Linked DNA regions of Elephas maximus indicus. The protein of the gene in region 3 purifies or fractionates together with the protein of the main gene of each other region. This does not show direct contact. Links are inferred from orthologs where the notes say so. Each region holds a gene or a part of one and is shown on either strand. Other genes may lie near its edges.

Region 1 (9,139 bases), on a different chromosome or scaffold from region 3:
CCACAAAAATAAGCTGCAGAAGAGGCTGGACTAAATGACAAGATCACTTAAGACCCTCCAACCCTTATCTATAACTCAAAATTCCTTCTCACATTGAGAGTATCACGTCAAAAATACCAATAATTGGATAAAGCAGTCTTTGAAGATTTCATAGCATTATCTCAAATCTCAGGGTGTAAGTGCTCCTCAAAACTACAGGAAAACTAATTTACTTGGAGTAAGTTACTATCAAAGGCAAATTACAATTTCAAAGTACTGCTATGAAAAAGCACTCTTCCTCTTTAAGTTCAGCCATGCACATTCTGAGGCAAACTACAAAAAGCTGAGGGGAGGGGGAAGCCAAATAACCCAGGATGGGGCCTGGGCATTGGCACAGTTTTCAAAGCTCCCCCAGTCATTCTACTCTGCAGCCAGGACTGAAAACCACTGACCTAATGCTACATAAATGACGTTTCTTCATAAATAAATTGTATTACAATTTAAAGTTGTGTATAAACTAGATTAAAAAAAAAAACTGCATCTTTAAGACAGACCAATACAGTTTACCTAACTTAAATATAACATACACAGTACTTTCTAATGACATTAACCTCGTCAAAAATACTAAGGTACAGTTCTAATAACTTGGACAGCAAAGACAAAAGCTTATAACAAGAAACAGGAGTTTTTCTAAATGGTTCACCAGTGGCCAACCTGTTAGTCCCCGATTCCAGTGACCTATTCTCAGAGCACTGGCTTCTCCTTGGGGATTTTCGATACTTCACTCACTGTTGCCATGACGACAGCTTCATCTCTATGTACCACTCCACATCACCCAGGCTTTGGTAAATGTAGCTGGTCGCTGTATAGTCGGTTGCAAGGGAAAAAAGAGTTGAAGTTAATAACGTATACAAGTTATATGTCTGAGTTAACTTGTAAAATGCATAGAAACGCTTCTATATCCTGTTTTTGTTTTTCATTTTTTAAAAGCTTCCATGCAATTAACAACTCCTTTTAAATTTCATGCTATAATCACACTTCTAAGATTGAGGCAAAACAAATTTCTCTGTAAAAATGCCAAAAAAAGCACTGTGACATCAGACGCAGCAGTCAGATGTGATACTTTAAATTCCATGGTTTTTACAGTTATGAAGACCTAATGTGACATCAAGGAAGAAAATTCTAAGTCTCACAGAGAAAGTTCCAAAGACAATAATCATATAACTACATACTGGTTGGCTCAACAGGTTCAAAGAATACCACCAGAAACTATTTCTTTCAAAAAAAAGCTTTGAACTAAAGATACAGAACCTTTTCTATTAGACAGTGTCATTCTGTTTCATACATCCTCAACAATCAGCTAGATCGCTAAGTACAAACATAAGCTCAGGTCATACTAAATACCAAATTGAAATCTTCCCAATTTCCAGGGATTCCTCAACAAGAAGCTAAAAGATATTTAAAAACGAAATTAAAAAGTTATTCTGTCTCTGGGTAAGAACAGGGTGAATGGGAAAAGACAGGGTAGGGGAAAAATGTAAGAAAACCAAAAAAAAAAAAACACACCATTTGAAATATCTGCAGAGCGACATTTCAGACTTTTTGACTGAACTAAATCATCATAAGGACATTGTAACATTTGGCTGCCTCTGAGTAATTCCATTACTGACAACTTCAAAGATTCGGCCAAGAGTAGTACCATCAGTGTGGAATACTGATTCGGCACTAAGCTACACCCAACCCCCAACACAACTTATTATCATCTTACAACTAATTTCCTTCCAAACTCAGCACAAGTTTGTCTATCACCATGACTCCCTAAAGGGAACACAACTAATCTGTAATCTACACCAAGTAGATCCTTCTCCAGTGTGTACCAGAAATCTCTTGCAGATGCAAAAAGACCTGCAACTGACACTTTGTAAGTGGTTTTCTCTCACATCAACACATAGGTCCAGTGTTACCATGTAGTTACAACACACCTACGAGAAAACACCGTTTCCATTTGTTTTCTTACAAGATGGACTAAGTGGGCCCCTAATAATGCAATCCAATCAAACTTAAGAGTTATTTTTCTAACCGACTCCCCAAGTCTTTATCTGACCAGTATAAAATACCTGTTTAATCCCTTTGACTTCAAACTTCAAATTTTACCATCCTGCAGTCCTTTCAGATCCGGTATTATTCGATATATCGTAGTTCAATGTTGAGAAGTGTTCTAACAAAAACCAACCTCAATTGACAAAGAATTAACTGGGACTTGGAACAGAAAATCAATCTACGCAGAACTTTGCCAAAAGATTAACTTGAACTACGTTGTTTAAACTACCAACCTTTAGTCTTCCAGAGAGAAAGTGGGGGAAAAAGAGAATACACTCCCACTGGAGCCCAATGCATCCTCATTCTCTTTCTTGTTCAATCTTAAATCACAGCCTGGCTTCACAGCGCTCCTAGCAACCTCCACAACTGCCTCTACGAGCTCTAGGTAACTGGTCAGTCACAGCTTCCCCAAGTTTCCTTAAACACCCGTGTGCTCCCAGGTGGATCAGAACACCTAAGTTAAAGTGAGTTTTTCTGTGCATCACATTCGCTTGAACAGGAAAGATGTCTTGACCTGATAATCGGTACACAGTACAGAAGTAGCAGAAGAGAACATAATCGATATTGCCAATCTTACCTTTTTCCTCTTAACTGGCGTAGGTGGTGAAATACATTAATCACATCTCTTATTCTTCTAGGTGCTTCTTCGATTTTTGATGCAAGATTAATACACGCCATGGCAACAATCTGGAAAAAAAAAAAAACCGGATCAGTAACAATTGTTAAAATGACAGGACTATCAACTAAAGTTGGGAAAGAGAAAAGCGTCTCGCCAAAAGTGTAACAAACTTATTCTGATGAAACTTTAGAACACAACTGGGGCAGCCTTCGGCGCGATAAAAGCCCGAGAGAAGCTTCTCGGTCACCAGCCCTATGCTGTCGTTTTGTTGCTCAACTCCTAACTTTGGATCCACAGCCAACCTCGATCCCCCGGGAGTTTGCGGCACTTGGTTGAACACCCTAACCCTTGATAAGGAGGGCACCCGGGCTCAGACTGCACCGCTCCCTTTCTAGGACACATTCCGGAGGTCCCCACTTCCCGGCCGGGGCAGCGGGGCACCGAGGCCCGGGGGAGCCCCGTCCTCGCCGGGGAGAGCAGGCTGCCGACACCACCCCCCCTTCCGGATGAAGAAATCCCCGTCTCGCCGCCCCCGCGCCGCTCACCTCGAAACTGTGTTTGACGAACGACTTGGAGTAGAAAAACCGATGGAACAACACCTGCCCCGTTGCCATCGCCACCTGCAGACGAGACACGAGAAGGGAGGCGCGGGGTCAGGCGGGCCGGCTCCGGGCTGGCCGCCATCTTGTACGCCCGCCTCCGCCTGCGAGCCGCCCTCCCGGCCCTCCGCCTCCGACACCGGCCCCCCGACCCCGGTCTGCCCGGCCCTCCGCCTCCGACACCGGCCCCGGTCCCGGCCCGCCCGGCCCTCCACCTCCGACACCGGCCCTCCGCCTCCGACACCGGCCCCGGTCCCGGCCCGCCCGGCCCTCCGCCTCCGACACCGGCCCCGGTCCCGGCCCGCCCGACCCTCCGCCTCCGACACCGGCCCCGGCCCCGGCCCGCCCGGCCTTCCGCCTCCGACACCGGCCCCAGTCCCGGCCCTCCGCCTCCGACACCGGCCCCAGTCCCGGCCCTCCGCCTCCGACACCGGCCCTCCGACCCCAGTCCGCCCGGCCCTCCGCCTCCGACACCGGCCCCGGTCCGCCCGGCCCTCCACCTCCGACACCGGCCCTCCGACCCCGATCCCGGTCTTCCCGGCCCTCCGCCTCCGACCCCGGCCCCGGTCCGCCCGGCCCTCCGACACCGGGCCTCTGACACCGGCCCCAGTCCCGGCCCGCCCGGCCCTCCGCCTCCGACACCGGTCCTCCGACCCCGGTCCGCCCGGCCCTCCGCCTCCGACACCGGCCCTCCGACCCCGGTCCGCCCGGCCCTCCGCCTCCGACCCTGGCCCTCCACCTCCGATACCGGCCCCGGTCCGCCCGGCCTTCCGACACCGGGCCTCCGACACCGGCCCTCCGCCTCCCACCCCGGCGGGACCAGCGCCGGCCGAGCCCCGCGGCGCACGCACCTGCGGCAGCCGGAGGAGGATGCCGGCGGCCTGGATGAGCTCGCAGCCCAGGATGCGCAGGTCCGTCTCGCTGGGCAGGTCGAGCCCGTCCTGCATGGACGGCGTAGGCGAGAGCCGCTCCTCCGGGATCAGCGAGTGGTCGATGGTCAGCGACACCTCCGAGTACAGGCGGTCGCCGATCAGGATGCCCCTGGTCGCCGTCGCCGTCGTGGCCGCCGCCCCGCAGCCGGAGCCGCCCGCGCTCGGGGCGACCGACGAGGCGGCGGCGGCCGCGGTCGGGTGAGGCCCGGACGCCATAATCTCCGCGAGCTGCACGCACGCCCAACGCAGCCGGAACCCAGAGCGAGACTAACCAGCGTTCTCGGCGCGACGGATATCCCGGCCGCCTCCGCGCGCGGGCGCTTCACGCAGCGTGCGCTTCCGCCCTGACGTCAGCACGCACGCCGACGCGCGCCAGCTAGTCCCTGGGCGGGGCCTCTCTGGGCGGGGCCTCCGCGCGCCGGGGTCGGGGTGGGGCTGCGGGGCGCGCCTGTGCTGCAGCCGGGTCTCTCGGGGGCACGCGGGGCCTCCCTGGGCGGGGTCTCCCTGGGCGGGGCCTCCTGGTTCGGGCCTTCTGGGCGGGGCCTCCTGGTTCGGGCCTTCTGGGCGGGGCCTTCTGGGCGGGGCCTCCGCGCGCCGGGGTGGGGGTGGGGCTGCGGGGCGCGCCTGGGGCGCAGCCTGGTCTCTCGGGGGGACGCGGGGCCCGGGGAGGCCAAGGAGACTCTCTCGTTAAACCAGGCCCCAGGTCCAGTCACAGAAACAATGAGCTCGCCATGACACCGCGTCCTCCAGTCAGCCCACGGCCCACTGCGGCCCAGTGGATTCCACCCTATAGGACACAGTGGAACGGCCCCATAGGGTTTTCTAGGAGCGGCCGGCGGATTCGAACTGCCGACCTTTGGGTCGCAGCTGAGCTTTAAGCACTGCGCCCCCAGGGCTCCCTAGTTAGGGTTCGCAGACCTTCCTCAAAGGCCTGCAGCGGCGGCTTCAGAAACCCCGTGGCACACGCGCCCCTCACCCCGGCTGGCTCTCGCCTCCCCGGCCCGTCCCCACCGCGCGCGGGACCTGGCACCTGCCAGGGGACCTTGGCGACTGTCGCCGGCCGCGGCCTGACGTCCCAGCCAGCAGCCTGTGCGGGTGGAGCTGGAAACCCTGCCGCCCTGGGTGGGAGCTGGGAGGTCACGGCACCCCAGAGTCTGCGCGGGTCCGCTCTGCGTCCCTGTTCTCGGCAAAGGGGAAGGTGAACCCCACGGGCTCCCAAGGGCGCCCCGAGAGGCCCGGATCCCGGAGTGGGAGTGACGCCCCCGAGAAGCCCGGATCCCACAGTTGGAGTGACGCCCCCCGAGAAGCCCGGATCCCGGAGTGGGAGTGAAGGCCCCCGAGAAGCCCGGATCCCGGAGTGGGAGTGAAGGCCCCCGAGAAGCCCGGATCCCGGAGTGGGAGTGACGCCCCCGAGAAGCCCGGATCCCGGAGTGGGAGTGACGCCCCCGAGAAGCCCGGATCCCGGAGTGGGAGTGAAGGCCCCCGAGAAGCCCGGATCCCGGAGTGGGAGTGAAGGCCCCCGAGAAGCCTGGATCCCACAGTCGGAGTGACGCCCCCAAGAAGCCCGCATCCCGGAGTGGGAGTGACGCCCCCGAGAAGCCCGGATCCCGGAGTGGGAGTGACGTCCCCAGAAGCCTGTGGCTCCCGGAGTGGGAGTGACGTCCCCAGAAGCCTGTGGCTCCCGGAGTGGGAGTGACGCCCCCGAGAAGCCTGTGGCTCCCGGAGTGGGAGTGACGCCCCCGAGAAGCCTGTGGCTCCCGGAGTGGGAGTGACGCCCCCGAGAAGCCTGTGGCTCCCGGAGTGGGAGTGACGCCCCCGAGAAGCCTGTGGCTCCCGGAGTGGGAGTGACGCCCCCGAGAAGCCTGTGGCTCCCGGAGTGGGAGTGACGCCCCCGAGAAGCCTGTGGCTCCCGGAGTGGGAGTGACGCCCCCAGAAGCCTGCGGCTCCCGGAGTGGGAGTGAAGGCCCCAGGAGCCTGTGGCTCCCGGAGTGGGAGTGACGCCCCCGAGAAGCCTGTGGCTCCCGGAGTGGGAGTGACGCCCCCGAGAAGCCTGTGGCTCCCGGAGTGGGAGTGAAGGCCCCAGAAGTCTGTGGCTCCCGGAGTGGGAGTGACGCCCCCGAGAAGCCTGTGGCTCCCGGAGTGGGAGTGAAGGCCCGAGAAGCCTGTGGCTCCCGGAGTGGGGGTGAAGGCCCGAGAAGCCTGTGGCTCCCGGAGTGGGAGTGACGCCCCGGAGAAGCCTGTGGCTCCCGGAGTGGGGGTGAAGGCCCGAGAAGCCTGTGGCTCCCGGAGTGGGGGTGAAGGCCCCAGAAGCCTGTGGCTCCCGGACTGGGAGTGACGCCCCCGAGAAGTCTGTGGCTCCCGGACTGGGAGTGACGCCCCCAGAAGCCTGTGGCTCCCGGAGTGGGAGTGACGCCCCCGAGAAGCCTGTGGCTCCCGGACTGGGAGTGACGCCCCCAGAAGCCTGTGGCTCCCGGAGTGGGAGTGACGCCCCCGAGAAGCCTGTGGCTCCCGGAGTGGGAGTGAAGGCCCCAGAAGCCTGTGGCTCCCGGAGTGGGAGTGAAGGCCCCGAGAAGCCTGTGGCTCCCGGAGTGGGAGTGAAGGCCCCAGAAGTCTGTGGCTCCCAGGTTGGGAGTGAAGGCCCCAGGAGCCTGTGGCTCCTGGAGTGGGAGTGAAGGCCGGCTCCCAGAGTGGGAGTGACGCCCCCGAGAAGCCTGTGGCTCCCGGACTGGGAGTGAAGGCCCCGAGAAGCCTGCGGCTCCCGGAGTGGGAGTGACGCCCCCGAGAAGCCTGTGGCTCCCGGAGTGGGAGTGAAGGCCCCAGAAGCCTGTGGCTCCCGGACTGGGAGTATCACCCCCAGAAGCCTGTGGTTCCCGGACTGGAAGTGACGCCTGGGGACCCCGGGAATGCGTCTGCTCTCCATTCCAGCTCCGCTTGCGAAACGCAGGCCCGGCCACGGGCAGCTTTTGCACAGCTTTTAGTAAACTGGGAAATCCTGTCGCTAAAAATAGCCTTAGGCCGAGAACTTTACAGTGGTAATTCGATTCTGGTTACAGCGATTAGCCTGAATGGATGACCTGAAGCTCACTCACTTTTTTTCTCTGTGATTGTAGCTAGAAATGCCCACATTTTTCTCAAACACAAAGGAAAAACAATGTACTGGTCTGAACAACTGTAATCTAGAGTTGGAAGGTAAGGCCTTGAGAGTGCATCACATTTCACTCCTACCAGGTTTTTATCCCCTGCTCGAAGCCCTGAGACGAGGGACGAGAAGTGTCATTACCTTTCTCTTACATAGCCAGTTTTAAGACTGAATATATTGAGAAACGCTTTCCCAAGACAGTGTAATTCTGGTACTGGCTAAACACTTCACCTTCTTGAACATAACCTCCTCCACCTTTCCATCCTGGCCGCTTCCACGGAAACTTCTCTCCCCAGTGCTCAGGTGAAATATTTAAAATACTGTAACAAACTTTTCAGGTATCCTCAGTTTATTTAAAAACTAATGTCTAGTGTGCCAGTTCCCTGGTTTTGTTGATCTACCATGGTTATGTAAAATATCACTTGGGAAAGCTGGGTTAATAGTACAAGGGAACGCTGCTATTTTTGATACTTACTGTGACTCTTAAATTATCTCAAAGTATAAAGAAAAAACTGATCGATAATGTGTTTCACTGAAGTATTTGGCATCAGTGAAATCACCAGTTATATTTGTAGTGATTTAAGAGTAATATAATTTATTTGTAAGCTTTTTTAAAAAACTTTTTTATTGTTCTTTAAGTGAGAGTTTACAAATCAAGTCAGTCTCTCATACAAAAATTTTTATACACCTTACTATATACTCCTAGTTGCTCTCCCTGTAATGAGAGGGCACACTCCTTCTCTCCACTCTCTATTTTCGGGTCCATTCAGCCAGCTTCTGACCCCCTCTGCCCTCTCATCTCCCCTCCAGACAGGAGCTGCCCACGTAGTCTCACGTGTCTACTTGAGCCAAGAAGCTCACTCTTCACCAGTAACATTTTCTATCCCATAGTCCAGCCCAATCCCTGTCTGAAACCTTAGCTTTGGGAATGGTTCCTGTTTTGGGCTAACATAAGGTCTGGGGACCATGATCTCTGGGTCCTTGTAGACTCAGTCAGATCATTAAGTCTGGTCTTTTTATGAGAATTTGGGGTCTGCATCCCACTGCTTTCCTGCTCCCTCAGGGGTTCTCTGTTGTGTTCCCCGTCAGGGCAGTCATTGGTTGTAGCCGGGCACCATCTAGTTCTTCTGGTCTAAGGCTGATGTAGTCTCTGGTTTCTATGGCCATTTCTGTCTCTTGAGCCCATTATTACCTTGTGTCTTTGGTGTTCTTCAAAGAATATTTCTTAATGGAAAGCTTTCTCCTTTTAAGGGGTCTTCCAGCATGCTTCTCCAATAGACTGACTGGTGAGGTATTGATATCTTTTATATTTTTACTCTCCAGGTCCCTGACTGTGGAGTCCCTGGGTGATGTAAACAGTTAAACATTCAAAAGGTTGATGGTTTGAATATATCTAGACACACCTCAGGAGACAGGCCTGAGGATCTGCTTCTAAAAGGTCACAACCTTGAAAACCCTAGGGAGCACACTTGGGGTCGCCGAGTCAGAATCCACTTGAGGGCAACTAACAACAACAGGTTCTTGATAAAGCCAAAAAAGTTAACAAACATGGAAGGGAGGAGTAGAGGGGATCTCTTTTCTCCAGCAGGTTACCTCTCTACTCCTAACATTGCTTCCCAGGGCCCTGCCCCTCCCGGGATCTGGCAGTCAGTTACAGAAGAACAGAACTACCAGAGCAATTCCACAACTGCTGTCACTTCCCACTGACTTACCCCCTAATAATATCCAGTAGGTGTGGATGCTTTACTAGGCCTGCCTCCAGCACTTTATA
Region 2 (9,899 bases), on a different chromosome or scaffold from region 3:
GCAAAATGAAAAGATGCTTTTACTAATGTGTACTAAAGGGTACAATCATTTTAAAGTACTTCCATTCTTCACAAAAATTACAATTCAGAGCACTTAAATACATAGCTAAGACACCAGGTCAATGCAAAAAATGACCTCTAACAAAATTCTCCTCATCCTCAAATACCTAGTTAGAGACCAGAATTTACTGATAAGACATACTTTCAAAATGCACAAAAATTACAGCAAAAACATGAAGCAAAGCTTTAAGGCACACCGCCTGTGCATCGTTACTCCCAACTCTCCAGAATTTACTAATACAAGATTACCATGTACTCCTGACCCATGTAACTACAGCTGTCAGCAACAGTAACGTTTAGGACTTCATCATATATACGCAAACCTAGAACACAAATAGTAGAAATAAAAATAACTAAGTTTATTTGGCTACTACAATTGGTCATGAGAACCAGTCTGATTCCTCTAATGATCACCTGCAACAAAACGGATAGAAAGAAAGAAATACAATTCTTAGTCAGCTGCTTGTTTCAAATTCAAGTTTCCAGTGTTCAGCCGCTCATTAACTTCCAGCCACTAAGGTATTATAAAAACTTTAACTCAAAAGTTCTAATGTATGTTTCTTTCTAATTCTAATCTAAATGTTCTTTTAGCTAGATTAATATCCAACACATTGAATCTTAGGTATGAAATATTTCAAAGTATCAGAAACAATCACCATCTATTAATTTCTCACATCCAGAACTCAAAAATAAAAAACCAGCATTGATTGCTACACAAAAAGTTCCCAAACACAAAACTTCCCAGGAACGTGAGCTTGAAGCATCCTATATCATCAGCTCTATGAACTCTGATGCATATACCGTTCTTACCTTATCTTTTTCATGTGGAAGGAGTGACACAGGAGGTAAACAAGAAAGAGACTCACAACTCTCTTTCCCATCCACATTGGTTGCTTTAGTGTTGAGCCGATAAAGAGGTCCATCTTTAAGGAGTCTGCCATGGCCAATGGCACGTTTGATAGCCAATCGTAACTGCTGGTGAAAGCCAGAGGCAGCACTGCCTCCAAATAACGCAGACACATCCTTCTGACCTTTCAAAAAACGTTCAATGCTTTTCAAAGTTGAGCCACCGGACTCTGCCAAGCCCTCAACTGCACGTTTGATCAGTTTATTCCAATCCACATTTTGTTTATTATCCAATTTCCCATGGTTTCGAGGTTTAGGAAGTGCTATTCGCCCAGGATTATCAGGATCTTTATAGGAATTGAGTCCTTTATTAGAGACCTTTAAAATTGTTCCATCCTTAACACTCAACTCCAATTGTTCTAGAACAGTTTTACGATCCAAGCCATGGGATGAAGATACTGCATTGCATATCCTTTCCTCTGAAGGACGCTGTTTCTGCTTCTTCACTTTTTTGATGGCCTCTAAAATCCACTCCGTGTACAGCGGGTTAGCGAGTTTTACCATGGTGAAGGATTCTGTATATCCATAGAGTCGTTATCCCTTATCCTGATGCTGAGTAAGTTTCACACCATGGAAAACAAGATTCTCGGAGGCTGGGAACCAGTTAACCATAGCATACAAGTTTTCTGGCCTGAGTCTTTTCTCCTTTCGCAAAGTAGAACGCTTTCCAATTTTATTTTAGAAACCAAAACAACCTGTTATTTGAAATATCATCACACTTCCCAATAAATTTCTTTATAGCACCACACATGGGTCTCTTCAGAAAGTTGTAAAGACTCAAGAACATCTCATTCCCAGCTTCACATTAGAAAAACGTGCATCTCATGCCTGTAAAGCAATTAAAACAAGGTCAGTTTTCCACATCAAGCCCACTGAAAATAAGCTGTAACTGAAATATTCTATTCTTTTTTAAACTAAGTAAGTAACAAGTGTTTCCTGAACACCTGTAGGAGTTTAAGACATTTCTATCAACACCCCAAAACAAACATGTATGTAAGTCACTGGGGTAAAACAGAAAGAAGAAAAAAAAAAAAGATGAGTAATTAGGACACAAGATGAGATGTTCTATGAATGACCTTAGGCTACAACTAACCAGGAGCGTGCTCGCTATTCTGTGCTCCCAATCTCTGCTCACCAGTCTATGAACTGCAACTCCTCCTTGACATCTTTCCCCAAGAAGTAACTATCCAGCACACTTCAACAAATAACTGGATTAGTAGAAAGAATCCTGCAATGAAAGTAAATCTTTCATCTTTCAAAATTCCAGACATTCAGACTGGATAAAAACAATAAGATAGGCAGACAACCACTGAGAAAATTTTAACTATTTCATATATTAAAAGAAACAATTCTAATTTACAGACCAAGCTCATATTTTAAGTACACTACTACTTGAAACATTCCAAATGGGAACAAAAATAACACTGAAAAGGGCCGAGTGTGAAAAAGTGCTTAAAGAAGTTTAAAATAATCCAATTTCATTCAAACTCTTAAGAATTACATGCTTATAGTTCCTCCTAACCCAAACTAAGATACTAATATCCATATACTGAAAGGAGTAACAACTGTCAAGTCATTCATAAACAATCTACAGATAAAGTGGAAGTGAGAAAGACCCAGGGTCACTGGAGTCAAATATACATATTACATGTCAACGTACAGAATATACACGTGAACGGTACTATATACATACACACACACAGTAGTTGTGGGTTAAAGAGGAGTCGGATCTCACAGAGATCTGAATTCAAGATTGCTAGACTGCTGTCCTGTACTGAACATTAACGCATAAAACATAAACAAGAATTGCCCCTCTAGGATCAAAATGAAACTTCTTTCCCACACAAGAATCTGGCAGATACAAATAAGAAAAAAAAAAATTCACCAAAATAACAAATTCTAAATCTAAATGACTTCTTTGCCTCAAAAAAACTAAACTTTTTACTTCAGCTTTTTTTAATACAACTTCTCTTATTCTCAGGTAGCAATCACATTACAATGTACACAATGCTAGAAAAATGGCTTCCACAGTAACTTTTCTTAAGAGTGACATTAAAATCCAAAGGAAAACTAATAGGGATCAGAAAAGAGAGAGTACTGTTAACTCGGAGCGGAAAAAAAAAGGGTGAAGCGAGCACTCAAACCCGAGGCAAGATTTATTTCAAAATCAGCTAACTAAAAAGAAGGCCCCCGGGAAAGCTATGCCTCATTTATGGTGAGGGTCTCAAGAGGATAAAAATCATAGAAATACTCCCAGAAAGTTCATTATGTAGACACTAACGCTAAACTAAATGGGGAGCTACAGCCTGAGTTTAAGCTGGGAACATTCTAACTGATTAATCTCGCAGGTAAAAGAATGAATGACAGTCATTGTCTCTCCGGCCGAGATTTCCATCAGCGTCCAGGTCTTCAGAAAATAAAGAGCCTGCAGACTTGAACCTTAACTCTCGGAAAGTACACAAGCGGCTGCAGAGAAATCGCAACTTGCTTCCGACTTCTTCCTCCCTCCCCATTCCCCACCCCCAAACACATCTTCGCGCTCTCTTTTTAAAGAGCGAGAAACTTTAAAAACTTGAAACGGCACAGCCCTGTAGTCTGCCAATGGGTTGCTTCGCCGCTCCCACTTGGGGAGCACAGAACCCAAGGAATAAGTTAACAATGAAATCACGTGAAAGAGTTAAGCGCAATGGGTCTCCCCTTCCCAGCTCCTCCGAACACTCAGCCCCACCGGGGCCGGTTCCAAGGAGGCGTGCGGGGCGCCGAGGCTCCCCGGAGCCTGACAGCTCGGGCAGCTCCCGTCCGCGCCGGCCGAAGCTTGACAGGCGCCCGCCGCCTCCCTCCCAGCCCGGGCTGACAGCCCGACAGACACAACACCACACGTGCTGCCTCCTCCGCACCACAACACCCGCCAGCCTGTCACCCCCACCGGCCGCCGCAGCCCCGCTCGCCCCTCGGCGCCCCCGGCCGGAGCCCAGAGGGCCCGCGCCAGGCGGCGCGGGGAGAGGGGCAGGGCCGGGCGGCCGGCGGCCGGCGACCGGGCGGGCGCAGGTGGGGCCGGGCGGTGGGCGCGCCCCGGGGGAGAGCCGGCTCCCGGCGCAGCCCAGCCCGAGGCCCCGAGGCCCCGAGGCTCCGAGGCTCCGAGGCCTGGGCCGTTCGCCGCCCGCCCGCCCGCCCACCCGCCGGCTCCCCAGGCTGGGCACGGCCGGCGGGAGGCGGGAGCTCCGGGCCGGCGAGCGCGCGGGCCACCGGGGCGGAGGAAGCCGGGCGCCGGCTGGGCGCGAGGGGGCGGCCGCGGCGCCCCAGCCCGAGGCCTGGCGCAGAGCAGCAGGAGGCGGCGCAGGCCGCGGCGGGGCCTGCAGCGGCCCGCCGACCCCGTGAGGCGGTGGAGCGGGTCCCGGAGCGGCTCAGCCTCGGGCTCGGTGGCCGAGGGCAGCCGGGGGTGGCCCCTCGGCTACTTACCGGGCGAGAAGAGAGCCGGGTTCCCGGGGCGCCGGGCCGGACCGCGGAGATGCCCCAAACTGACACGGCCGCCATCTTGGAGACAGTGAGCTCCGGCCGGGGGGAGGGGAGGCGTGGCGGCGGAACAGCCGCGGGGGGAGGGGAAGCGTCGCGAGGGAACGGCTGCCTGGGGGAGGGAGCGGGAACAGCCTGGGAGGAGGCGGGGGGAGGGGGAGGAAAGGGGCGCGCGGGAGGGGGGCGGTCGCGGAGCGGGAAGAGCTAGGCCTGGAGCCGGGAAAGGCCGGAGGGCGGGGCGGGGCAGGAGGGAAGAGCCGGCCTGGCGGGTCACGTGGGGCCGGTACAAAAGGCCAAAGCCAAAGTGGGAGGAGGACTTGGTGGGGCCGGAGGCCAGCAACTGGGGGCTTCTTCTCGCCTTTCTCACGCGTTTAGGCCGGGCGTCTACGGCAGAAAAGAAGACGACGATGTACTCCCATTACACAGCTGGGGAAACTGAGAGCAGGGGCATGGGTAGGGTGGCTTCAGTATAGCACGGAAATCCGGTAGCCAGATGAGATCGGAACTCTTGGTGGCGTTTGTGTTTACAGTTAGCAGAGCCTCCCTCCCCTCTTCTGTGCCCTCACCCACTTCCACAGTGACTCTCCCGGAACCTGAGGTCGGGGGAGGGGAGGAAAATGAGGAAGTTGCCTCCCTTCATCTTTCCCTTTCTGCTCACCCCAGACATCTCACCCCTACTGGTAGGCAGGCGAGCAGATGCGAAGAGAAGGGAAAAGCGTGGGGGAGGACAGTAGATAGAAACTCAGACACCCGTGTCAAGCCCTTTCACCACAATGACTTCATTTCATACTCCCCACAACAACTGAGAGTTTATTAGACCCTAGCAGAGCCATTATTATAGAAAACAGCGCAAACTCGGGTCGTGTAACTTGCCCAAGGTCATGCAGGTAGTACGTAGCAGACACCTGAGTTTGGAGCCTAAATCTGTCGTATTCCAAAGCCTGTGTTGTATTCCTGCCCTGTGCAGAATCACTGCTGGCTGCATTTAGGGCTGAACCACGATCTAGCACTTTTTATGGCAAGTCTGTCCTCTACTAGCTGCATGTGTGTTTCTTTGTCTTGTCTCGCATGTAGACTTAAACTCCTTGAGGCAGAGATTCAGTCATACTTTTTTTTTTCTTTCCTGCATTCACTGGAAAGACAATAAATGACAAATGAGAGGACAGAGTAAATGCTTAACAATTTTGTGTGGAAATGTATTCTTGTTAGTGGGCATTTATCTACCTTGTGCCTCCTGTTTAGGTGTTTCCACACCTCATTTTATCTCACCCTTACCTTTTAAAGACCACCGTCTGACTTACTGCCTTAACTTTGGTATTTACTTTCTGGTCTGAACTTCTGTGGTATTGACCATTTGCCCTATTCATTTGTCACTCAGGGTGTGAGTCTTTATCTATGTTTTATGAATATAGCCCCAGATAAATGCTTTTTTAGGGTGACTCTTTGTATCTCCAGTGCCCAGTATGCTTGTTGTACAAGAGTAGGAGCTTAAAAAAAAAGTTGCTAATGAATGAACATTTTTTTAAGCCTCTGACGTGGAAACTTCACCTACCTCGGGTCCTGCCTTTGTTTATACCCCAACCCATACTTTCCTGTCTCTATAAACCTTCTTCATTTTAATCCCTAGCCTTATTATTCCACACGATAGACCGTCTAGAGAATAAAAAGTATTATATTTTCAGATGATGGTCCAGCCAAGGCAACATTTCAACATTAACATTGACAACAAATGTGGTGTGCTGAGACTTACTGAGTCAGCACGGTTCATCACCTACTTCCAAGCCCCATCCCCAGATTAGGGGAGACTCGATGGCAATGGGTGGTGTGGGTGGTGGTGGAGGTACAAAAAAATCTATTAGAAAGGATGCCTTCCATCCTAGATGAATCAGGCAGAAGTATTCTCAGGTAAAATGGGAGCTCTTTATAAAAACAGAAACAGACACGGGGGCGGGGGGGGTGGTGAGAGGAGACAAATTTTCTTTTAGGAAAATAAGACAAGGTTTTTGTTTCCCAAAGAAGACAGATGAAGTGGCATTAGTATAAGAAAAAGTGTTCTTCATATGAGACTAAAGTCTATGGTTTTCAGAAGACAAATGATAGGGATGAGCTGTGTTTGCTTTTGGATAATTTGAAAGAAAACTAGCCACAGCTATCCCTCTGAAAAGAGTTTTTAAACTCACAGTAGCAAGATTTTAAAACAATTTGCAACAACAAAGCACAGTTTAGCTTTTCAAACAGCTTCCATAGAGAGTCTTTGCTTTACATTTGCATAACTAAATGACACATTCAGGGGGTCTTCTCAAAGTACAAGGTTTGCAATAAAAACAGATTAAAGTCCTCACCTTCTGCAAGTTAGATAACGATTTACTGCTCTGAAATGACGGTTTGCTTAGCTCAGCCTTCACTAAGAATTCAGCCCTGTAGGGCTGGCAGCTAAAGCTTCCCGCTTCCACATTTTGCCCAAGGAAAAGCTGCCTTTTGGGTTGCAGCTGATAACTACATTTTATGCAGAGTACAGCTCAGCCTAGGTTTCTCTGTCCTAGTTTCAGCAGGAAGTTTTTTAGCACATTTACAGTTAATATAAAAAAAAAAAAAAAATCCATTCCATGGAGTCGATTCCGACTCAAAGCAACCCTATAGGATAGAGTACAAGTGCCCAATAGGGTTTCCAGGAAGGGGCTGGTGAATTCGCACTGCAGACCTTTTGGTTAGCAGCTGAGCTCTTAACCACTGCACTCCTGCAGTTAATATAGTTACTGCTATATTTGGTTTTTTTTATTTGTATTTTTTTAATATATATTTGTATTTAGGAGCCCTGGTGGCAAAGTGGTTAAGAGCCACGGCTGCTAACCAAACGGTTGGCAGTTCAAATCCACCAATTGCTCCTTTGAAACCCTATAAGGCAGTTCTACTTTCCTGTAGGGTCACTACGAGTCAGAATCAACTCAATGGCAATGGTTTTTTTTGAGGATTTATATTTGTATTTATACTTGCCATCTTACTATTTATTTTCTACATGGCCACTTATTTTGTATCTCTTTTTCTCTTCTTTCAGGCCTTCTTTTTTTTTTGGAACTGTAAATACACATAGCGTATTTAGATACTATAAAAAAAAAAGGTAGTAGCAATTTAACATATTATTAATCATAATTCATTTATACTATTCCACATTTTTTTAAACCTGCCCTCCTTTGTATGTTAAAGTACACATTAATAGTTAATTTTTAGACCATGAACTTTTAGAGTGCAAAATAATGCCTTTTTCTAGTTTTGCTGGGTTTTGTGTGTCTCTGTGTGTGTGTGTGTGGTAAATATATATGTAGCAAAACATTTGCCATTTTAACACTTTCAACATGCACAATTCATTGACGTTAGTTGCATTTCTCATGTTGTTCAACCATTGTCATTATTCACTTCCAAATTTCTCCATCACCCTTAACAAAAGCTCAGTGTCCCCTAAATAATGAGCTCCCTCTTCCCCTCTCTCCCATCGCCCCTCAGTAGCCCCTAATAAACTTTGGTTTCTATATACTCGCCTATTCGAGATATTTCATATAAATGGGATCATATATTTGTCTTTTGTGACTGACTTATTTCATTCAGCATATTTTCAAACCATACAACAAGGTTCAACCATGTTGTAGCATTTATCAGGACTTCATTTCTCTATATGGCTGAATAGTAGTCTATTGTATGCATGTAAAAAAAAATTTTTTTTTTTTTTACATGTACCACATTTTATTTATCCATTCATCTGTTGACGGGCATTTAGACTGTTTCCACCTTTTGGCTATTCTGAATAGTGCTGCCATGAACATTGGTGTACAAGTATCTGTCTGTGTTCTTGCTTGTATTTTTGTCCACCTCTGGATGATTTTAACTTTTTTTTTCTTTGTCTTTAGTTTTCAACAGTTTTACTATGATGTGTCTAGATGTAGTTTTCTTTTAATTTATCCCGCTTGGGTTCATGACTGGGGTGGTGTCCATTCATGGAGTTCCTTGAATTTTTGTAGCTTCACATCTTTTATCTGTTTTGGAAAATTCTTGGTCACCGTTATGGATTGAGTTGTGTCCTCCAGAAATTTATGTTGAAGGCCTAACTCATGGTACCTCTGGATTTGACCTTGTTTGGAAATAGGATCTTTGGAGATGTTATCGGTTAAGTTAACATGAGGGCATATTGGAGTAGGTTGGGCTCTAATCCAATCCGAGTGACTCCTTACAAAAGAAGAGAAGAAACCCTAGAAATTTATAGAATTTTCAAAAGCTATTAAAATTAAGTTTGACCCTTTAGAGATATAGAGAGACAAACCTAGGAGGATAGCCATGTAAATATGCATCTACAAGCCAAGGAATGTCTGGGGCTACTAAAAAAAAAAAACTAGAAGCTGTGAAAAACAAGAAAAGATCTTTCCCTAGAACCTTCAGAGAGAACATGATCCTGCTGACACCCTGAATTCTGGACAACTAGTCTCTAGAACTGTGAGGCAATACATTTCTGTTCTTGTAAGCTACCCGGCTTGTATTTTATTACAGCAACCCCAAGGAATACAGTCATTACCTTTTCTTATCTCTTTTCCTTTTAGGAATTGAAGTGTACATATTTCAGAATTTTTCATTGTTCACTACCTGTATATCCTATCATTTTTCTCTTTTTTTTTCTTCTTTGAGCATGAGCTTGTATATTTTCTGTTCTTCTGTATAATCTACTCTTAAGCCCATTTATTGTGTTCTTCATTTCACCTCATTGTATTTTTTAAGTTTTAGAATTTTTATATGATTCTTTAAAAATAAAACCCATTCATTGGTGAAATTCTCCATCTTTTTGTTTTCTCCACCTTTCCCTCTATTTTCTTGGATGTATCAATCCTGGCTATTTTAAACCCGTTTCTGATAATTACAAAATCTTGATCTCCTGAGGATCTATTTGTACTGTATATTCCTCCCATTGATTTTGGACTCAGCCCCCACCCCACCCCCTCTTGGTTTGCCTGGTAATTTTTGAGGGAATGCCATATATTAAGTATGAAAAATTATAGAGGCTCTAGATAATATTTTCTCTATCCAGAGATGGTTCACTCTTTCCTTTGCAAAGCAGTTAGAATGAGGACTAATCACCTTAGTCAATCAAAGAATGAGCTAATTTGAGATTGACTTTTGGCAAGGCTTAGTCCACCTCTGTTTTGCTGCTGCTCCTACAGTACATCCCTCCAGGAATTCCAACTGAGAATGTGTGTATTCCCTTGGCCTCTCGCCCTAGTGGATACTGAATTCTAATCCTTGTTTCCGCCAGCACTGTGGGACTGCCAAAAACTCCATTCCACTTTTCAGAGGCTTTCTATTTGGCTTTCTAACCTTCTGTCTCAGGGTTCTTCAGAATTTGACAAGTGACTTGAGGGAAACAGGCAGAGTATTCAGCTC
Region 3 (9,798 bases):
AATCGTCTTGACCGGGCTCTTGAAGTTGCTGGCAGCTTGGAGCTGCAGCTGGTAGGCCATCGGGTGGATCTTGAAACCATAGAGCCTGGGCCGGGGAGAGATCAGAGAGGTAGTGGGATGAGTGGGTTACATTCCTGCCTCCCCACCCCTCTGCCTCCGTGGGCTTCCTCAAAGCTTAAGGGCAGTAGTTCCCAAAACTCTTTACTCAAGAATACTTGGAAATGTATGTTAAACATCAATTAAAACTCAAATTCTATATCAGTTCTTGTTTCAAGGTAAAACTGAACTTCTCTTTTTCATAGACAGACTTAAATTGATGCCCCAAAAAGATGAATCATATTTATTAATCTGGTAAAAGGCTGAACACCCAAGACAGTGGTAATAATAACCAAAAATCAAATTAGGTGCCATTGAGTTGATTCCATGGTGACTCAAGGTGTGCAGAGCAGAACTGCTCCACAGGGTTTTCAATGGCAGTGGCCTTTTGGAAATAGATTGCTAGGTCTTTCTTCTGAGGCATCTCTGTGTTGGTTTGAACTGCCAACCTTTTGGTTAGGTAAGTGCTTAAGCACTCACGCCACCCAGACACTCCGGTGATGGCAATAACTAAAGTTTAAATATTTTAAGCTCCAAACACTGTTCTAAGCAATTTACCTGTTCAAAGTCACCCTATCAGGATAACACTGCCATCATCCCCATTTCATAAAAAATAAAACAAGCATAAGGCAATTAAATAATTTGCCCAAGGGTACTCAGCAAAAAGAAGCCCTGGCCTGGGGGAACCAGACCTCAAAAAAGGGGATGCCCTGCCTTCCCTTATCTCCAGGGGACCTTGGGTCTTTTCTTTGATCCTTGGTAGCTCTGTCCTTGCTCCCCACCTGGGCACAAACTGGTTGGCGGGCCGCTTGGGCCGGTACTCGGGGTGCACCATGAAGAGCATGTGAGGGAAGCCGGTGCCGAAGTAGGCGCCATCCGTGTGGTGATGCCTCGATGACTTGGGTGTGTACACATCCATGCACTTGGGGCAGTAGAGCTTCACCATGGCCTCGCCTGGGATATCCGACAGGCCTGCGAGACAGCCAGACTCAGCCGACTGGGCACCTTCTAACCTGCACAACTTTCACCCAGGACTTGGGCCCCGACTTGCTAAGTCCCAACACATTCCCAGGGCACCTGCCATATGTCATCTACCACTATCCAATACTCACCAATGGGGAGCATTGGCTGGTTCTCACAGTACACACGGGGACAGTAGCCAAAGTCTCCTTGCTGGTATTTTTCCAACTGAGGTAAATAAAATGGCGAAGACTGGTAGACAGGTGTGAAATGATGCAACCCACATAGTGCTAACTCCCCCCTCAGCCCAACCTATATCACTGTGCCCCTAATCCTTCCACCTCTGTCCAGAGGCCCCTTCCCTAGCCCAGACAGACCCTCAGACTCTGCTGCCTCCTTTCCTCCAGTCAGGCAGGCTGCAAACCAGAGTCATTCACTGTTTGTTCCCCAAGAAAGAGATAGTCTGCAAGAACTTCCCATTCAGGGTCATGTCTCCCTCCTGAAAACAGCCTCCCACAACATGCCCCGAAATCAGGACTCAACTCCCAGGCCCAGATTCTGGGCTTCTTCCCCTCTTCTCAGCTAGACTCCCTGGCAAAGTTGAAATGTATGACTTCTTGCTGCTGGAACCTGTTTCCCTTATTGCCTCAAAAGGAGTCAAGTGGGAGTAGAGTCCTCACCATCTGGGCGATGCCACGGTTGGTGAGGATGTAGCGGGCGTGGATCAATCCATACAGCATCTCAGCTGCCTGCTCAATCAGGTCACTCTGGTTGGGGTTGTCTTCCAACTCTTCATCTGAAACATGGCCCGGCCCAAATGCAACCACTTGCCATTCAGCCTTCCTGAGGGTGCTCCACTCACTCCCAGTGGCTGCTGGCTACTCAATTTGCCCACCACCTATCTCTGAGTCTCACCCCACCCATCACCTGGACATTCAACCCGTAAACCTAGGTTTCTGACCCCTTCCACCAACCCAGGGCAGCTCTGCCTTCCCTCCACACCTCTTCAGCCTCCGTTCTCTTCTCTACCCCTACCTCGCTTCTCAATACATAAATGCAAAGATGTCAACGCAGAAGGTGGAACTCTAGACTGGAAGGTGCAGGGCAGAAGAAACAGGCAGAAAACAAGACACTTGGGGAAAGTGGCATTATGGAATAAAGCCGAATTACAGAATCAGTGAGCACAGGAACAGATGGCAGATGTCACTAAACCAGGCAAGAGCCAGGTGGAGAATCAAAGTGAAGGAAGAGATTTTGGGATAAAGGAGACAAAGAGCCAAAAGAAAATTTAGAAATTCAAGAAACAGGGGAATTGGGATTTTGAGAGGAGGAAAAATCAAAACAAAACAACAACCCTGAAAGTGCCTCACCAGGCTCCAGGTCCAAGATCATGTCAAGGGCTTGTCGATAGTGGGGTACCTGCTCATTGAGCCCTGTGAGGTTGAACTTGTCTTGGATGTAGTCTTCATCCACCTGTCAGGATGTGGAAGTGAAGAAGGAAACCACAAAGAAACTCCAGGCTTTGGCACAGACATGTTGCTCTAACTGATGCCTTGTTCTCAACACAACTGCTTCTGTTCCCGTCATCCCCCACCCCAAACTCAAAAGAGGTACTCACACACTCCCTCTCCTAAAAGCCCTGGCCTTTCTTTTCTAAGGATGTCTCCTCAGATAGACATTCTTTTCAAGTTCCCTATCCGTACTCCTGCACCCCATCTCTAGGAACCAGTTTTGTTCTCTCTTTAAGGATAGCTGGCTCTCTGAGGAAGGTGGAGACTGACAGCTCAGATTCTGAAGGTTACAATCCCTTACGTTAACAGAGAACTTTACACATTACCAAACATTTTAACAGGTAGTATTTCAATTCTCGTAACAGCCACCTGAGACAGGTACTATCAGTACTATTCTAGTGATAACAAAGACATGGATTGACCTTCTCGACATCTTCCTGTCGGAAGATGGAAGGCTTGGGACTTGAGCACCAGTCTTGCCGCTTCACTACAGGTTAATGGGAGGTACTGAGGGGACACTTCCTTGACAAGAGGGAGTTTCCATGGAAGCATCGGAAAAAATTATAAGAAGGCTGAATATGTGTGGGAACGCCTGGGGTCAGAGTCTGTGTGGAGCTGCGCTGGCAAGCAGGGAGACTGAGGAGAACTCACTTCACAGAAGAACTCATTGCCACGGAGCCCACAGAACCAGGAAATCCAGGACACCTCCTCTGAACTGCTCATCTTTACGTCAGCTTGAAAAATAAGGGTGTAAGTAAAGCCGGTGACCCAGAGCTTTCCCTCCCTCCCTCTGTCTCTAGTATCCTCCCTCCTCCCACACTTCACCTTCCAACCACAGAAGAACCTTGGGGTCAGCCTTTCTTAAAGGAGAGCCCTGGTGCTGGAGTGGTTAAGAACTATGGAGAGCTGCTACTGCTAACCAAAAGGTGGCAGTTTGAATCCACCAGCTGTTCCTTGGAAGCCCTATGGAACAGTTCTCCTCTGTCCTATAAAGTCTTCAGTAGTCAGAACTGACTCGATGTCAACGGGGTTTTTTAACGGGGTTTCTTAAAGACTCCCAGACTCCGGAGCACCCCTCTCCAACTCCTTTTATTTACACCTCAGCCCCTTTTCTCTGCAGTTAGAAATCCTGTGCAGTCCACTTGCAAGAAACCAAGAGATGTGACCCACCAGTCCTACCCGCATCCCTGGCTCTCCCGCAAGCCGGGCCCCTCTCCCTTCCGTGTCAACTCCAGCAGGGTCCTCGACTCCGGCTCCCTACCACAGTAGGGCTCTGCAAGTTTCCGGAGCCTTTCCCAAAGGTCCCGAAGTTTATCCTTCCCGGGAAAGAGCCCGGCCCCTCCTTTTCTGACGGCCTGCGGGTGACTGTCAGATCCCTTCCACAGGAGCCCGCACATACCGCAGCCGCCCCCCAGGACACCCCTCCCTCCCTCCCTCCCTCAATGCCGGACCGGGTCACTTCCTTCCCCGCCCCCACATCGAGGCGCAGAGACCCCATGTGCAGCGCCAACGAAGAAGAAGGCTCGGCGCGGCGAGGACCTCAGACTAACCTGCTGGACAGGGGCCGGGAGTGGGGCGGGGAGGGGAGTTGCTGCTTCCAAGCGACAGCTACAACGAAGGCCGTGGACCCGACCGCGGCAGGCGACGCGCGGTGGGGGGAGTGGAAATTGGGGAGGGTGGGGAAAAGAGCAACGCGCAAGCGCCAAAGGTCCGGCACCGCGGTGGACGCCGGGAAATAGAGTCCCCGGTAGGGACAAACTGGCGAAACGAGGGAAAAGCTAACTACGAATCCCAGGATGACCCGCACACGACTCTGGTTCGCTGGGCCCGCGAGGAAGACGCTCGAGGGCGGGGCGCAGCGAGGCGCCACCGGAAGCGGAAAACAAATGCCGCATTCGGGGCCAGAGCCTGGGAAATACAGAGTTTTGCTCCTAGGACTGAGGGGCCGAGTGGGGGCGGGGAAATCAGCGCGCCAGGCTGAAGTCTCTCCCTGCCTCTCTCCTCACTGCTTGATACTCAAGTCCTGGCTAAGCGCCTCCGCCCTGGAGTCTAGTCCTGTTTATTCCTAGTCTCGTCCAGGCCGTCGCGTCTTTCTTGCCTGTTAGGTCCCTTGCCCCAGTCAGGCCTATTCCTGGGGCTTCCCCTTCTCCATAGGGCCCACGTTTCACCCAGAGCCCCGGCCTCCTGAGAAAGAAAATGCTCCGTGCTGAGAGACCTAGGTGGGCTGGACTGGGCTGGGCTGGGCTGGGCTGAGCGATGTGAGAACCGGGACGGCCCAGTGCGCTAACCTGAGGTGGCACCAGCCATCCTGGCGCTTGTCCCCTTGCACTTTTCCATATCCTCTTAGGCCTTGAATAGGACCTTCGACTGCGGGCTCAAAGTGTAACCTTCGAACCTTGGTCAGAGTAATGGTGAGGGGCAGGGTGACGTTATTTCATGTCACAGCTTCTTGGCATTGCAGATTTCCCTCCTCAGTGCCTTTCCTAAGTCAGGGAATGGTTTCCCGGCTCCAGAAAATGAGCTCGGAGCGGAGGGTCACCTCGAGGGAGGTGGAGGGCATTGTGGGGCGTTATGTAAAAGCAGGACCCCAACCGACAGATCTTCTTAGGTCCTCGCGCCGCCGAGGCACGCGACCCTTTGCAGATTGACTATTGGAAAGACTCCAGGGCGGGAAACTGAACCCGGCGCTTCACGCCTGCGCTCTGATGTAATCATGGCTTTTTTTTTTTTTTTTCCTGCCACGCATGCGTTGTCTTGTCTTGTGGCTATTTGATTGTAGCGTATCTTTTGATTAGAGTAGCGCCATTCTGCCGTACGGAAGCCACAAAGCAATGCAGGCGGAGCCTCTTGCCGAAATCTGCTTCCGGAGAAGTGCCGAGACTGTTTTTGTTTGAAAGACGGAACCCCGAAATAGGAGCAGGAAGATTTAAAGGGCCAGGCCGGTTTTTTTTTATCTTAAACGTATGTCATTTGGTGTGGAAAAGTCGGTTCAGAGAGAGGCTCTCATTACTTTTATATGAGAGCGGGGTGGCAGGGCGGGACATAGGCCCTCTGAGCAACTCTCTCATGGAATTTTCTTTGTTGACATTTAGCAAGGAGCAGGTTATTGTAGGGTTTCCTGTTTTTACATGTGACCTATAACCCTTGGAGCCCTGGTGGCGCAGTGGTTACGAGCTTGGCTGCTAACCAAAATGTCGGCGATTGGCATTCACCAGCCGCTGCGTGGAAACCCTGTGGGGCAGTTCTACTCTGTCCTCCTGTAGGGTCGCTATGAGTCGGTCCTTAGGCGCTTAGGCCCTGCCGGGCCTTAGATTGTGGGGTCACTTTTGGGGCAGGAGGGGATCTTGGATTCTAAGGCTACTTTTCTTCCTTTCGGCAGCTTCCTGGAGGTGGATCTCGGCACTACAGGGGCTTTTGGGCAGTTGGCTTGCTTTTCTCAGCCTTCCCTTGCCCAGCCTCATTTTCTCAGCTCTCACAAAAGCCATGTCCAGGCCGTCCCTCATCACCTTCACCCCAGCCAGCGATTCTAGTGACCTCTGGAAAGATGGGCAGCAGCAGCAGCCACAGCCTGAGGAGCCAGAACCCGCCTTGGATGGGTCTGCAGTCCGTGCTTTCTACGAGTCACTGATAGAGAGCGAGAGCAGCTTTCCTGAACCCCAAAGATCGCACCCTGAGCCTGCCAGGGAGAAAAAGAGGAAGAAAAGAAGACTGATGAGGGAGGCTGCGGCAGAAGCAATGGCAGTGGCAGAGGCAGCATCAGGGGTACATGGACAAGAGGGATCCCTTGAGGCAGAGGACAAGCTAACCCAGTGGATACTGAGGGCAGCTCAGGAGGGGGACCTGGCAGAACTTCGAAGGCTGCTGGAACCCAGTGAGACAGGAGGAGCTGGGGGGAATATCAATACCCGTGATGCCTTCTGGTGGACTCCCCTGATGTGTGCTGCCCGAGCTGGCCAGGGGGCAGCTGTGAGCTATCTCCTGGGCCGAGGGGCTGCCTGGGTGGGAGTTTGTGAGCTGGGTGGCCGGGATGCTGCCCAGCTGGCGGAAGAAGCCGGCTTCCCCGAGGTGGCCCGCATGGTCAGGGAGAGCCATGGAGAGACGAGGAGCCCTGAGAACCGGTGAGAAAGTCTTAGCCCATGCACATATTTCAAAGTGTTCTGCTCTTCTTACTCACTCTGCACCAGAGGCCCCAGAACAGAGCTGAGGGTCCCCCTGCCCCATGTAGGTTGATAAGGCAATGTAGTAGCATGGTTACAGACATGAGCTCCATTGGTTTGAATCCTAACTCCACTTACTTGGGCAAACAACCTAAATGCTATGTGTCTCAGTTTCCTTATCTGAGAGATGGTGGGTAATAATAGTACCTTTCTCGTAGGGTTAAGATTAAATGGGCTAATACGTGCAAACTACTAGAGCAGTGCTTGCCATGTAGTTGTTAGTTGCCATTGAGTCAATTCTAATTCACGGTGACCCCATGTGTACAGAGTAGAATGCTTCATAAGGTTTTCAAGACTTTGACCTTTTGGAAGTAGATTGCCAGGCCTGTCTTCCTGGGTGGATTTCAACTGCCATCCTTTTGGTTAGTAGTGGAGTGCGTAGCCATTAGCCTCACCCAGGGGCTCCTTTGCTACATGGTAAGTACTATATAAATATTAATTGTAATCATTATTATTCCTTCCTCCAAAAGTCTTGTGAGGCCTAGTTACCATTTCTTCTCCCAGCCATTCCCCTCTGGGTTTCTCATTGCTAAGTGGGGAGGAAAGCAATTTGTTCCTTAGCAGAAGGGCTGAAAAGACCTTGTCCCACCCTGCCAGCACCCCTGAAGCTTCTGTACCCTTCTCCTGACCCATAACCCCCTCCCTCAACTCCTTCTCTTCTTCCTCTGCAGGCCCCAATCTCGCGCCTCCCACTATTGCGAGACCTGTGACGCCTACTTCCAAGATGCCAACCACTGCACATCCACCGCCCACCTGCTGTCACTGTCCCAGGGTCCCTGCCCCCCTAGTCTTCCCCCTGGGGTGCCTGCCTCCAGCCCAGGCTTCAGGTTGCTGCTGAGGGGAGGCTGGGAGCCAGGGATGGGGCTTGGACCCCGAGGTGAGGGTCGCACCAACCCTATCCCCACTGTCCTTAAGAGGGACCAGGAGGGTCTTGGCTACAGATCAGCACCCCAGCCCCGGGTCACACACTTCCAGGCTTTGGATACCCGGGCTGTGGCTGGGCGGGAGCGAGCGCCTCGGGTGACCACACTGAGCCGGAAAGAGGAGAGAAGGCGAGAGGAGAAGAGCAGGGCTTGGGAGCGGGATCTCAGGATGTACATGAACCTTGAATTCTGACCTTGGTGAGGTTTGACCCTGGTCTGCTGCCAGAGTCTGAACTTTGGCCCATGACTTGGGTACTTTAGCCTGTACTCCCAGAGGTCTGCCCAGGTCCCAGACCCTCAGGTTTTGGTCACTGGGCCCTCCCTGCCTTTTGGGAGAGAAGGGCTGAGAGTTGAGAAATAAATCAATCTTCATTCTCTTTCCTAATCTGTTCATTTTTCTGGAAGCTGTTGTGGGGGAAGCCAAACTGAAGTCTGGGGGCCACATTAGCATGGCCAATTGGAGCCACAGGAGCAGCTACCTCCAGATGGCATGATAGAGTCATCTCCCTACCAATCTGGTTCTTTTGGAGGCCTGTTGTTGTTCTTAGGTGCCGTCAAGTCGGTTCCAACTCATAGTGATCCTGTGTACTACAGAACGAAACACTACCTGGTCCTTCACCATGCTCACAATTGTTATGCTTAAGCCCATTGTTGCAGCAACTGTGTCACTCCATCTCCTGGAGGGTCTTCCTCTTTTTCGCTGACCCTGTACTCTACCAAGCACGATGCCCTTCTTCAGGGACTGATCCTTCCTGACAACATGTCCAAAGTATGTAAGATGCAGTTTCACCATCCTAGCTTCTAAGGAGCATTCTGGTTGTACTTTTTCCAAGACAGATTTGTTCTTTCTTTTGGTAGTCAATGGTATATTCAACGTTCTTCACCAAGAGCATAATTCAAAGGTGTCAATTCTTCTTTGGTCTTCATTATTCATTGTCCAGCTTTCACATACATAAAATACGATTTAAAATACCATGGTTTGGGTCAGGTGCACCTTAGTCTTCAAGGTGACATCTTTGCTTTTCAGCACTTTAAGGAGGTCTTTTACAGCAGATTTGCCCAATGCAATGTGTCTCTTGATTTCTTGACTGCTGCTTCCATGGCTGTTGATTGTGGATCCAAGTAAAATGAAATCCTTGACAACTTCAATCTTTTCTCCGTTTATCATAATGTTGCTTATTGGTCCAGTTGTGAGAATTTTTGTTTTATGTTGAAGAGTAATCCATACTGAAGGCTGTGGTCTTTGATCTTCATCAGTAAGTGCTTCAAGACCTCTTTACCTTCAGCAAGCAAGGTTGTGTCTTCTGCATAACGCAGGTTAATGTGTCTTCCTCCAGTTCTGATGCTCCATTCTTCTTCATACAGTCCAGCCTCCCAGATTATCTGCTCAACGTACAGATTGAACAGGTATGGTGAAAGGATAAACCCTGACGCACAGTTTTTCTGACTTTAAACCAAGCAATATCCCCTTGTTCTGTTCGGACGACTGCCTCTTGATCTACGTACAGGTTCCTCGTGAGCACAATTAAGCGTTTTGGAATTCCCATTCTTCGAGGCCTAGCCCCTGCCAATAGTACCACACCTATTCTTCTGAACCAGGAACAACTTGCAGCTCCATGCAGATCTTCTGACCACTCCAGTCAGTTCAGTCACTGATTTCACAAATATTCATATACAGTGTGCTAAGAGAGACATTCCCAACACTGAAGGAGCTCACAGCTGGAGGGGGAGATAGCCCTGAGGTCAGATATTATAATACTTGGTGGGGGGTGGCTAGGGCTGGTCAGGGAAGGTTCAGAGAGGAGGTGATGATAGTGGGTCAGGTCTTGCAGGAAGAGTCCAGTATGATGACAGGCCCAGAGTTAATGACAATGCAGCTTGTACATTAGTTGAGCTGCCATCAGGACTCTGCCCTTCCTAACTCTAAACTTTAAGCCCAAACCCACTGCCATCCAATTGATCTCAACTCATTGTGACCCTGTAGGATGGAGTAGAATTGTCTCATAGGGTTTCAAGGCTGTAAACCTTTACAGAAGCAAACTGGCACATCTTTCTCATGCAGAGTAGCTGATGGGTTCGAACTGCTTCACC

The links. Proteins that work in one complex are often made in the same cells at the same time.
Region 1: the proteins of CSNK2B (region 3) and CCNL1 purify together in Homo sapiens (co-immunoprecipitation; 3 studies listed by BioGRID and IntAct, with this or other methods). This does not show direct contact. The link is inferred for Elephas maximus indicus from reciprocal best matches to the Homo sapiens genes CSNK2B and CCNL1.
Region 2: the proteins of CSNK2B (region 3) and KAT6A purify together in Homo sapiens (affinity purification with mass spectrometry; 3 studies listed by BioGRID and IntAct, with this or other methods). This does not show direct contact. The link is inferred for Elephas maximus indicus from reciprocal best matches to the Homo sapiens genes CSNK2B and KAT6A.

Annotation. Positions count from the first base shown.
Region 1 is NC_064841.1:3,472,689-3,481,827, reverse strand, and holds the start of CCNL1 (cyclin-L1), read right to left. Parts: upstream 4,520-9,139; 5' UTR 4,446-4,519; coding exon 4,149-4,445; intron 3,319-4,148; coding exon 3,244-3,318; intron 2,767-3,243; coding exon 2,657-2,766; intron 1-2,656. Other genes in the region: collagen alpha-2(I) chain-like, read right to left, coding at 5,367-6,384, 6,421-6,466, 6,541-7,221. UniProt on the Homo sapiens protein: Involved in pre-mRNA splicing. Functions in association with cyclin-dependent kinases (CDKs). Inhibited by the CDK-specific inhibitor CDKN1A/p21. May play a role in the regulation of RNA polymerase II (pol II).
Region 2 is NC_064840.1:58,393,022-58,402,920, reverse strand, and holds the start of KAT6A (histone acetyltransferase KAT6A), read right to left. Parts: upstream 4,520-9,899; 5' UTR 4,425-4,519; intron 1,794-4,424; 5' UTR 1,470-1,793; coding exon 870-1,469; intron 1-869. UniProt on the Homo sapiens protein: Histone acetyltransferase that acetylates lysine residues in histone H3 and histone H4 (in vitro). Component of the MOZ/MORF complex which has a histone H3 acetyltransferase activity. May act as a transcriptional coactivator for RUNX1 and RUNX2.
Region 3 is NC_064819.1:93,193,190-93,202,987, reverse strand, and holds the start of CSNK2B (casein kinase II subunit beta), read right to left. Parts: upstream 4,237-9,798; 5' UTR 4,118-4,236; intron 3,939-4,117; exon of another isoform or gene 3,747-3,938; intron 3,302-3,746; 5' UTR 3,291-3,301; coding exon 3,219-3,290; intron 2,530-3,218; coding exon 2,427-2,529; intron 1,853-2,426; coding exon 1,737-1,852; intron 1,309-1,736; coding exon 1,209-1,308; intron 1,069-1,208; coding exon 879-1,068; intron 86-878; coding exon 1-85. Other genes in the region: GPANK1 (G patch domain and ankyrin repeat-containing protein 1), read left to right, coding at 6,051-6,685, 7,456-7,900. UniProt on the Homo sapiens protein: Regulatory subunit of casein kinase II/CK2.